Drosophila melanogaster: one gene and its partner. The protein of the gene in region 1 interacts with the protein of each later gene in a biochemical or structural test. Each region holds a gene or a part of one and is shown on either strand. Other genes may lie near its edges.

The links.
Region 2: the proteins of Pym (region 1) and mago are reported together in a solved structure, tested with the Drosophila melanogaster proteins (one study listed by BioGRID).

The regions. Positions count from the first base shown.
Region 1 is NT_033778.4:23,855,298-23,858,821, forward strand, and holds Pym (partner of Y14 and mago), read right to left. Parts: upstream 1,640-3,524; 5' UTR 1,586-1,639; coding exon 962-1,585; 3' UTR 657-961; downstream 1-656. Other genes in the region: bgcn (benign gonial cell neoplasm), read right to left, coding at 1-161, 221-574, 1,893-3,402. UniProt on the Drosophila melanogaster protein: Regulator of the exon junction complex (EJC), a multiprotein complex that associates immediately upstream of the exon-exon junction on mRNAs and serves as a positional landmark for the intron exon structure of genes and directs post-transcriptional processes in the cytoplasm such as mRNA export, nonsense-mediated mRNA decay (NMD) or translation.
Region 2 is NT_033778.4:21,126,759-21,130,461, reverse strand, and holds mago (mago nashi), read right to left. Parts: upstream 1,886-3,703; 5' UTR 1,769-1,885; coding exon 1,508-1,768; intron 1,450-1,507; coding exon 1,267-1,449; 3' UTR 725-1,266; downstream 1-724. Other genes in the region: magi, read left to right, coding at 1-97, 154-587; Tmtc3 (transmembrane O-mannosyltransferase targeting cadherins 3), read left to right, coding at 3,443-3,703. UniProt on the Drosophila melanogaster protein: Core component of the splicing-dependent multiprotein exon junction complex (EJC) deposited at splice junctions on mRNAs. Involved in exon definition of genes containing long introns, including the rolled/MAPK gene.

The DNA of each region.
Region 1 (3,524 bases):
GGTAATACCCAGATATTCGCTTATAATCGTATTGGGTGAGAGTAGTTTCACCGCCAGGCAGATCTTGTCCAGTTGCATAGTCTGCAGGCTTGGCTGACTGGTCTCGCTTAGCTCCTCGTAGGCCTCCTTGCTTATCAGACGGAAGCATTGTACATCCCCTTCTACGGAAAACGCAGTGCATCAGTTAGTGTTAACAATGTATGACGAGCTATGTACTTACTATTGGGCTGAAGGATTAGCTCCCTTCGCAGAAGAGCGTCCTTGGCCACCCATTCGAAGCGATCATCGCCGCTGCAGCTCGTGGTATCGTAAACATTGTTCAGCCGGCAGGCGGTGTCTATTTGGTACTTGAACGGCACCTTCAGGCAGAGCGATTCGATAATATCCGTGGCCAGAACCACCTTCACCGTCTCATCGCTGGCATTGACCAACGCCTGGAGGTAGTCATTCCTCATGTTATCGTACAGCAGGAATATGGAGCACTCCTGCAGGCTGCCAGTGAGGCAGTGGCTCAGGATCATGTAGTTCAGCTTGACAATGTGGTAGTAGGTGGGTAAAATGATGAGGATGTTGCCTGAAAATAGGAAAAAGGTAGTAGACTTTCTCTCATTCTTTCCACATGGAGGTTAATGATAAAGAGCAGCCTGTGAGCGTTTCGCTTCAAATGGGTTTAATTTATTAAATCTGATTTACAAAGTTACCTATACATAAATAAACGCGGCGATTCCCCATTCGTATAAACTAGGTTTCAAGACAGACACACATTACTAAAATAGATCGATATTACTAAATGGCTTGACATCTTCGACTAAAACTAATATAACTATTCAACAGACATAGGCATGTATGTGTTCTTTCGTGCAGAGGCGGCGCGACTTCTGGTCGGTGATTTGTTCACGAGGTGAGAGGATATACTCGTAGCAGTATCTGAGTGGACTGGAGCTGGAGCTGGAGCAGTGGGCTATGAGCGCGGCGTGCTCTCCAAGTCCTTGATCTGGCGCAGGATCTCTGACTTCTTTTTCACCTTGTCCAGCTGGTCCTTGTCCAGCTTCTTCTGCTCGCCGGCCTGGATCCTGCTCTCGATCTGTTCGATTTCCCGGATTTTCTTGCGCAGCTTCTTCAACTGCTTGGCAGGGTCCACCACCTCCTGGGCGGCGTCCAGTTTCAGGGTGTCCTCCAGTGTCTTGGATATCGAGTTGATGTCCCGGCTGCCAGAGGGCTGCTGTTGCTGCTGCTGCTGCTGCTGACTGACTTTGGGTGGCGGACACGTGCTGGGCGGCATAACCAGGACGCCGGGCGCCGGCGCCTTTGGCTGCCTGCCGGATTCCTTCTCCTGCTTCTTGGCCCTGGTGCGCTCCTGCTTCTCGCGCTCCTTCTTGGACTCGGCGGCCAGCAGGGGACACATGCCAGGCGGCACTCCGGCCTGGCGCTGCGCCACGAACTGCTTGCCCTTGCTCTCGTAGAGTGGCACCTCCTCCTGCGGCACGTAGCCGTCCTTGACGCGCCGCGCCTTGCGCCAGGTGCCATCCGGCCGCTTGGTGGCCGGAATGAACTTGCCCTCGCTGCTCTGTAGGTACGTGCTCATCTTGCTGCTTCTATAAAAAACAATGCCCACTCGCCAGGCGATACTTATCGATAGCTTTGCTATTGCGGGTGGAACCTTTTGCGCGGCGAGATCGAATTTTCATGCGATTAATCGCGCACGAGCTTGCAGAATCATTCACTCTCAGCCGTTCCAACGCGCACTTTTCAAATCGTATTTTGAATAATTGCTAACCGCTTCCTTTCTCGCCTATATAACCCTTAGTACCCATTCAAACCATTTTTGACCATAACTAATGACTAATAACTTACTAAATATGTTCTATAAGCCATGAACACCTGGCAAACACCTGGCGAATACTCACCTGGCGAATACTCCGGTTTGGTGCGCAGCAGATACATGATGTCGATAATAAGATCATAGTCGACGAAATCCGGCTTGGCGCTCTTCACCACATAGCCGTGCAGACTGTAGCTGTTCAGGACATCGATGCACTCGTGGTTGCCGTTCATGGCCGCCAGTGAGATGGCGTTCTGCTGGAACAGGTCCACAATGTAGGGATCAGCGCCCATGAAGAGCAGCAGGCGCAGATGATTGGCCTTGTTCAGTTCGGAGGCGAAGTGCACCGCCGTTTTGCCGGTCAGCGAGTGGCGGTAGTTTACGGGAGCCAGGTCGTAGTTTACGGCGTACAGGAAGGGACGTAGGGCGGCGTCCGTGCCCAACTCTCCGTAGGCCTGCAGGCACTTGTCCATCTGCTCGTTGCGCGGATTGTTGGCGCGAAAAGCCTCCGGAATCTCCTTGTAGATGTCCGGACCCTTGTGGATGCCGGCCAGGGCAATGCAGCTGTGCAGCTCGTTCAAGTAGGAGACACGTGGTGCGACCTCCGGCTGCTTAATCATATTCAGTTGCAATCCCTCGCCAAAGAAGTCGGTGAACTTCTTGGGGTTTCCCATTTGCGACAGCAGCACCACCCTCAGGTTCTGATGGCTACTTAGCGCCATGCGTATCTCGCTCAACAGGATGTCGGTGTAGGGATCATGCAGGTGGACATCGTTCACCACCAGGTGACTGATGTTGCGAAACTGCTGGCTGGTCAGCGAGCGCAAAAAGTACTGCGCCGTCGAGTAAATAATAAAAGTGCTGGAGCTAACGGCGCTGAAGTACGGCAACTGGATGCCCACCGTCTCGCCCAGCTGCTCGCCGAAGAAGTTGGCCGTTCGCTGGCTGTTGTAGGTGGCCAGAATGGCCTGCCGCTCGATGCACATAATCTTGACGTTGGACTTCTTGTTCCGGCAATCGTCCAGAATGACCAGGGGCAGGAAGACGGACTTGTCCCAGCAAAGCGCAGCGTTATAGACGATCACCCGACTGGCGTACAATGACTGCAAGATCTCGTCGCTCAGCGAGTGACCCAGAAAAGCAGTCAGGAAATTCAGCTGCGCCTCCGTCCAGAAGCGCAGGTTAGGAGGACGTATGGCGGGCAGCGGCAGATGCAGTGACGGTAGGTCCGAGGCATTGGCCTTCATGGAGACGAGGTCCGCGTAAAGCTCCAAATCCTCCTTGCCCATCAAGGACTTCCTGCTCAGCAGCGTAAACATGTTCAGCGTAGCGCCCGAGGACAAAACCAGCGTCTTGGGCTCCTCCAGGTAGTGGCGACATGCCTGCTTGTACACCTTCACGCAGCTATTCCCGTTGACATGGACCACCTGCGATCGCAGCCCCAAGGAGCGGGCGTTGTTGGCGAATGCTTCGTGCTCGCTGGTGCGGAATGTGCACGGGAACTGCTGGCAGCAGCGCCGTCCCGCCAAGAAGTAGAGCAGCTGTTGCGGAATGTACTTGTCCTGGATGATGTGGTTCATTTCTGCTAGCTTCAAACAGATTGACACTAAATTAAGTGAAGTGCGCCGCAATGCGCGCGGCAATTGCAAGTTCCGTTATTGCCACCGTCGTGAAAATAGAAAAATGGCGGAATGGAACACAG
Region 2 (3,703 bases), 2.7 Mb from region 1:
CGTTATCCTTATGATGTGATTGTCAGCCGGCATGAAAACGAGGGCTTCGGATTTGTTATCATATCATCATCGAACCACTATTACGGCTCGACAATAGGTATGCCACTGACTTTAGACTTTGTTTCAATTCATCTAACATATCAACGTATTAAGGGAAACTAATACCCGGCAGTCCGGCGGATCGTTGTGGAGAGCTCAAGGTGGGCGATCGCATAGTGGCAGTAAACCGCATCGAGATAGCTGGCATGTCGCACGGCGATGTAGTGAATCTCATCAAGGAGTCTGGTCTTCATGTGCGTCTCACTATCGGCGTTCCGCTGAAGGAGGGTGGTCCCAGTCCTGGCGGCAGTAGCGTCGGTGTGTCCAGCAACACTCCGCTGCAGGCATCTCCCAGTCTCCTGAAGGCACAACTCTCCCACCAGCAGCAACTTCCGCAGCAGCATCTACAGCAAGCGCAGCTGAATCACCACCACCAGCATCTTGAGATGCCAATGTCAATGCCCGTGCCAGGACATGGCAGCTATTTGGAGCGACCCAGTAACAATATCTCAGCCACTTTGGCGCTGCATCAGCAGCCACAATTATGACTCTGAGACCTACGCATTCGGCTCTATAAGAGCTTTCTATAGTGTTGCATCGCCTGCAGGCCCTTAGTTTGTACTTTCGTTAGCAAAGTACTCACCCCAAAGACTGAATTTAGTAGCATATGTAAGCCAAACCCTTTGCAAGTCTCAAAACCGTATGTGAGTGCGTATTTTATTCCAGTTTCTTAAGATACCGATCATTATCTTAGGCTAAGTTACTGCTTGTACTTAAACGTTAAGACAATTTGCCAGTTTGTGAGATATTAATCACTTAGCTTAAGCTGTTTTAGACATATACGAATTGTACAAATGTAAAGGACTTTAAATTTTTATCTCGAGTATGTATATTATTCAAACACAATAGATATTAAATTGTATTTTTCAAATATACCTACACATTATAACATCAAAAGTTAAATGGTTTACTATTGTGTTTGCTATTATTGTTAAACTTGTTGTCTGCTACTACATCGAAGATTTGCTATTTACTTCTATAGCACAATCTAGACTGTACACAAGACTTTGAAAACAAAGTATCTTCCAATCCTTTTTTATTCACTGCAAACTGTACCAAAAAGTACAAAGGTATAGCTTATACAATTACAAGTATCGTAGAAGTTCCATTATAAAATACGATGTGTCCGTCCGATAAATAGGCTATGCTTGAGGTGGTGGCTACGGCTTATATGGGCTTGATCTTGAAATGCAGGCCGATGAGTGAGAAGACCAGGCACTTGAGATCCTGCACCAGGTAGTAAAAGCATCGCAGGCCCTCGGGATCTTTTGACCGGTTCACGTCCACCAATGATCCCGTTTTCGAGGTGGTGAACGAGATGTGCTCGTCTCCGATGACGATCTCCAGTTCCTGAAAAAGACACATGGTTGTTTAGTTGAGCTCTAGTTACGGAGTGCGGCAAACCGACCTGTCGACCCACGCGATCTGGTGGCGGCCAGGGCAGATCGTCCTCCTGCATGATCTCCGAGTCGATGATGATTCGCTTCAGTTCTTCCATCACGGACTGGTGGACGAAGGCCTCCTTGCGGATCATGGTGTCGTTCTTGTAGTTGGAGTTGTTGGCGTACCGCAGCTTGCCATCCGGCCGGAACTCGAACTCCAAGAATTCGTGCCCGAACTTGCCCTTGTGTCCGACGTAGTAGCGTAGGTAAAAGTCCTCCGTGGACATGATTGCTTCTAGTTTAAAGCGTAACTTTGAAAGACTTTCAGAAAAATATCAATTTTTGGTTTCCCACTCTTTTTCCTTTACTACAACGCGTTAGAGATGGGAAAACACACGGAATAACTATCACCGCGTATCGATAAGTGTTCGCTGCGAATGGCTGGCAGGGATGAGGAAGAGAAGCCAGCCTATCGGCGTATCGATAACACAACAATAATCCACGTACAAGTCGCGCATTTGGCACTGATTTTTATTAAAATGTAATTCAGTTTTGGATGCCATGGAACTACCTCAACAAGTATGTGAACGACAGGGCGGTGTGTGAGAACCCATCTGTTAAACGGTGCTCGAAACTCGCTGGGCAACATTGTAATTATTGGCGAATTGAAACAAAGTTGGCAAATCGGGTTTGTTTGCGGCCGTGTGATTGTGTGCGTGTGCGAGGCCATCGCCGTTGTAATGGCGTCCATGTCACTAAAATGGGAGAGGACATGCGGCTGGCTCTCCGGTTCCAGCGCCCATAGCCATCGCCATGTCCTTATCCTTCTCCAGTGCCCCGTATCTCGGTCAAAGTAATTTTACAAAAACACACACGGCCATTAATTTGCGCTCGGCGAGCGGGAGAGCCATGAGCACGGAGAGCGCACGTCCTGGCAAGTGAAAGTGCAAGGATGCGGGACCGCGCATGTGTCGCTCTTGGCGGGAAAATGGAATAAGGGTAAACGGAGCACGTGCCCGCCCGGTCGTCCTTCGGGAAAAGTCGGTCGTGCAACAAAGTTGCGCTCAGCTGAGATGCAATCCTCTCCAGCTCCCGTTGAAGCTAGGCCCCTTTTTTCGCTCTTTACGAGCGCTTACTTCGCTTGTGGTGGTTTGTTTTGACTGAACGCCCGGAAAATCGATGGCATTGAGTGCAACATTGTGGCATCCGCCCATCTGCCCACCGATGTGCCCCGCCTAGTAATGCTCCAGGTCCCGCAACATTTACAACAGTTTATGCAAACAAATCTCTCACGCGCTCTTCGCCTCTCTAAAAGCGCTCTCCGTCCGCATACTTGTACTTGTGCGTACCCAAAGTCCGGATCCGGAGCTCTGTCGGTCCGCCCGGGTTACAACTTTGTTAACTTCGGGCTTTTGTGTGTGCAGTCGGTAACCAGGACAGTAACCGGGAAGGAGTTACTTTGTTGCGTATTAATTGATTTTTTCCGCAATCAGTTTTTGCTTCTTTGTATAACTTCAAGTGCTCATAAAAAGCGGTAGAAAGTTTGTCTTTAAAAAGACTTTGACTTGGGGGAAAATCGGTAAGTTGCGGATGAAGGACTATGGAAAGTAAGAGGATTTGGGTGTGTATCCAGAAAAGATGCGAGGGCTTACATATACATTACTGCACAATTTTGTTGCTCGGGGGAATCCCCTTTCAAAAAAAATATATAGATATGTATGTTGCCTACATTTAGGGGCTTTCTCACTAATAGGAAGTGTCTATACTTAAATTGGTGGACTTGTATACTTAATTAGTTTCCAGTTAACTTAAACTAATGGTTTTCCCACTTTCTCATTTTTTTCCAGGCCATCTAGGGACCTGCCGACCGTGGCTGGGTAAAGCCCTACATGCAACATTTCGCCGCCTGAACGAACAATTGTGGGTACATGACGCCTTTCACGAAGTAACGCGAAATCAACATGTCAACGAACCCCAACCCCGGAATCCATCAGTATGCACCCTCCACTTTGCCGAGGGAACGGGAGCGGGAAGGAGCCACAAACTCGCCGCAGCGCAACCTGCTCGAGTTCCTGTGTATATGCGTAGCCTGCATAGTCTGCTATTACAACAGTACTCAGTGCGGGCTTGTTTTCGATGACATCAGCGCAATCAGGGACAACAAGGATCTGAGGCCGCACACTCCGCTGATCAACGTTTTCCTGAACGACTTCTGGGGGACG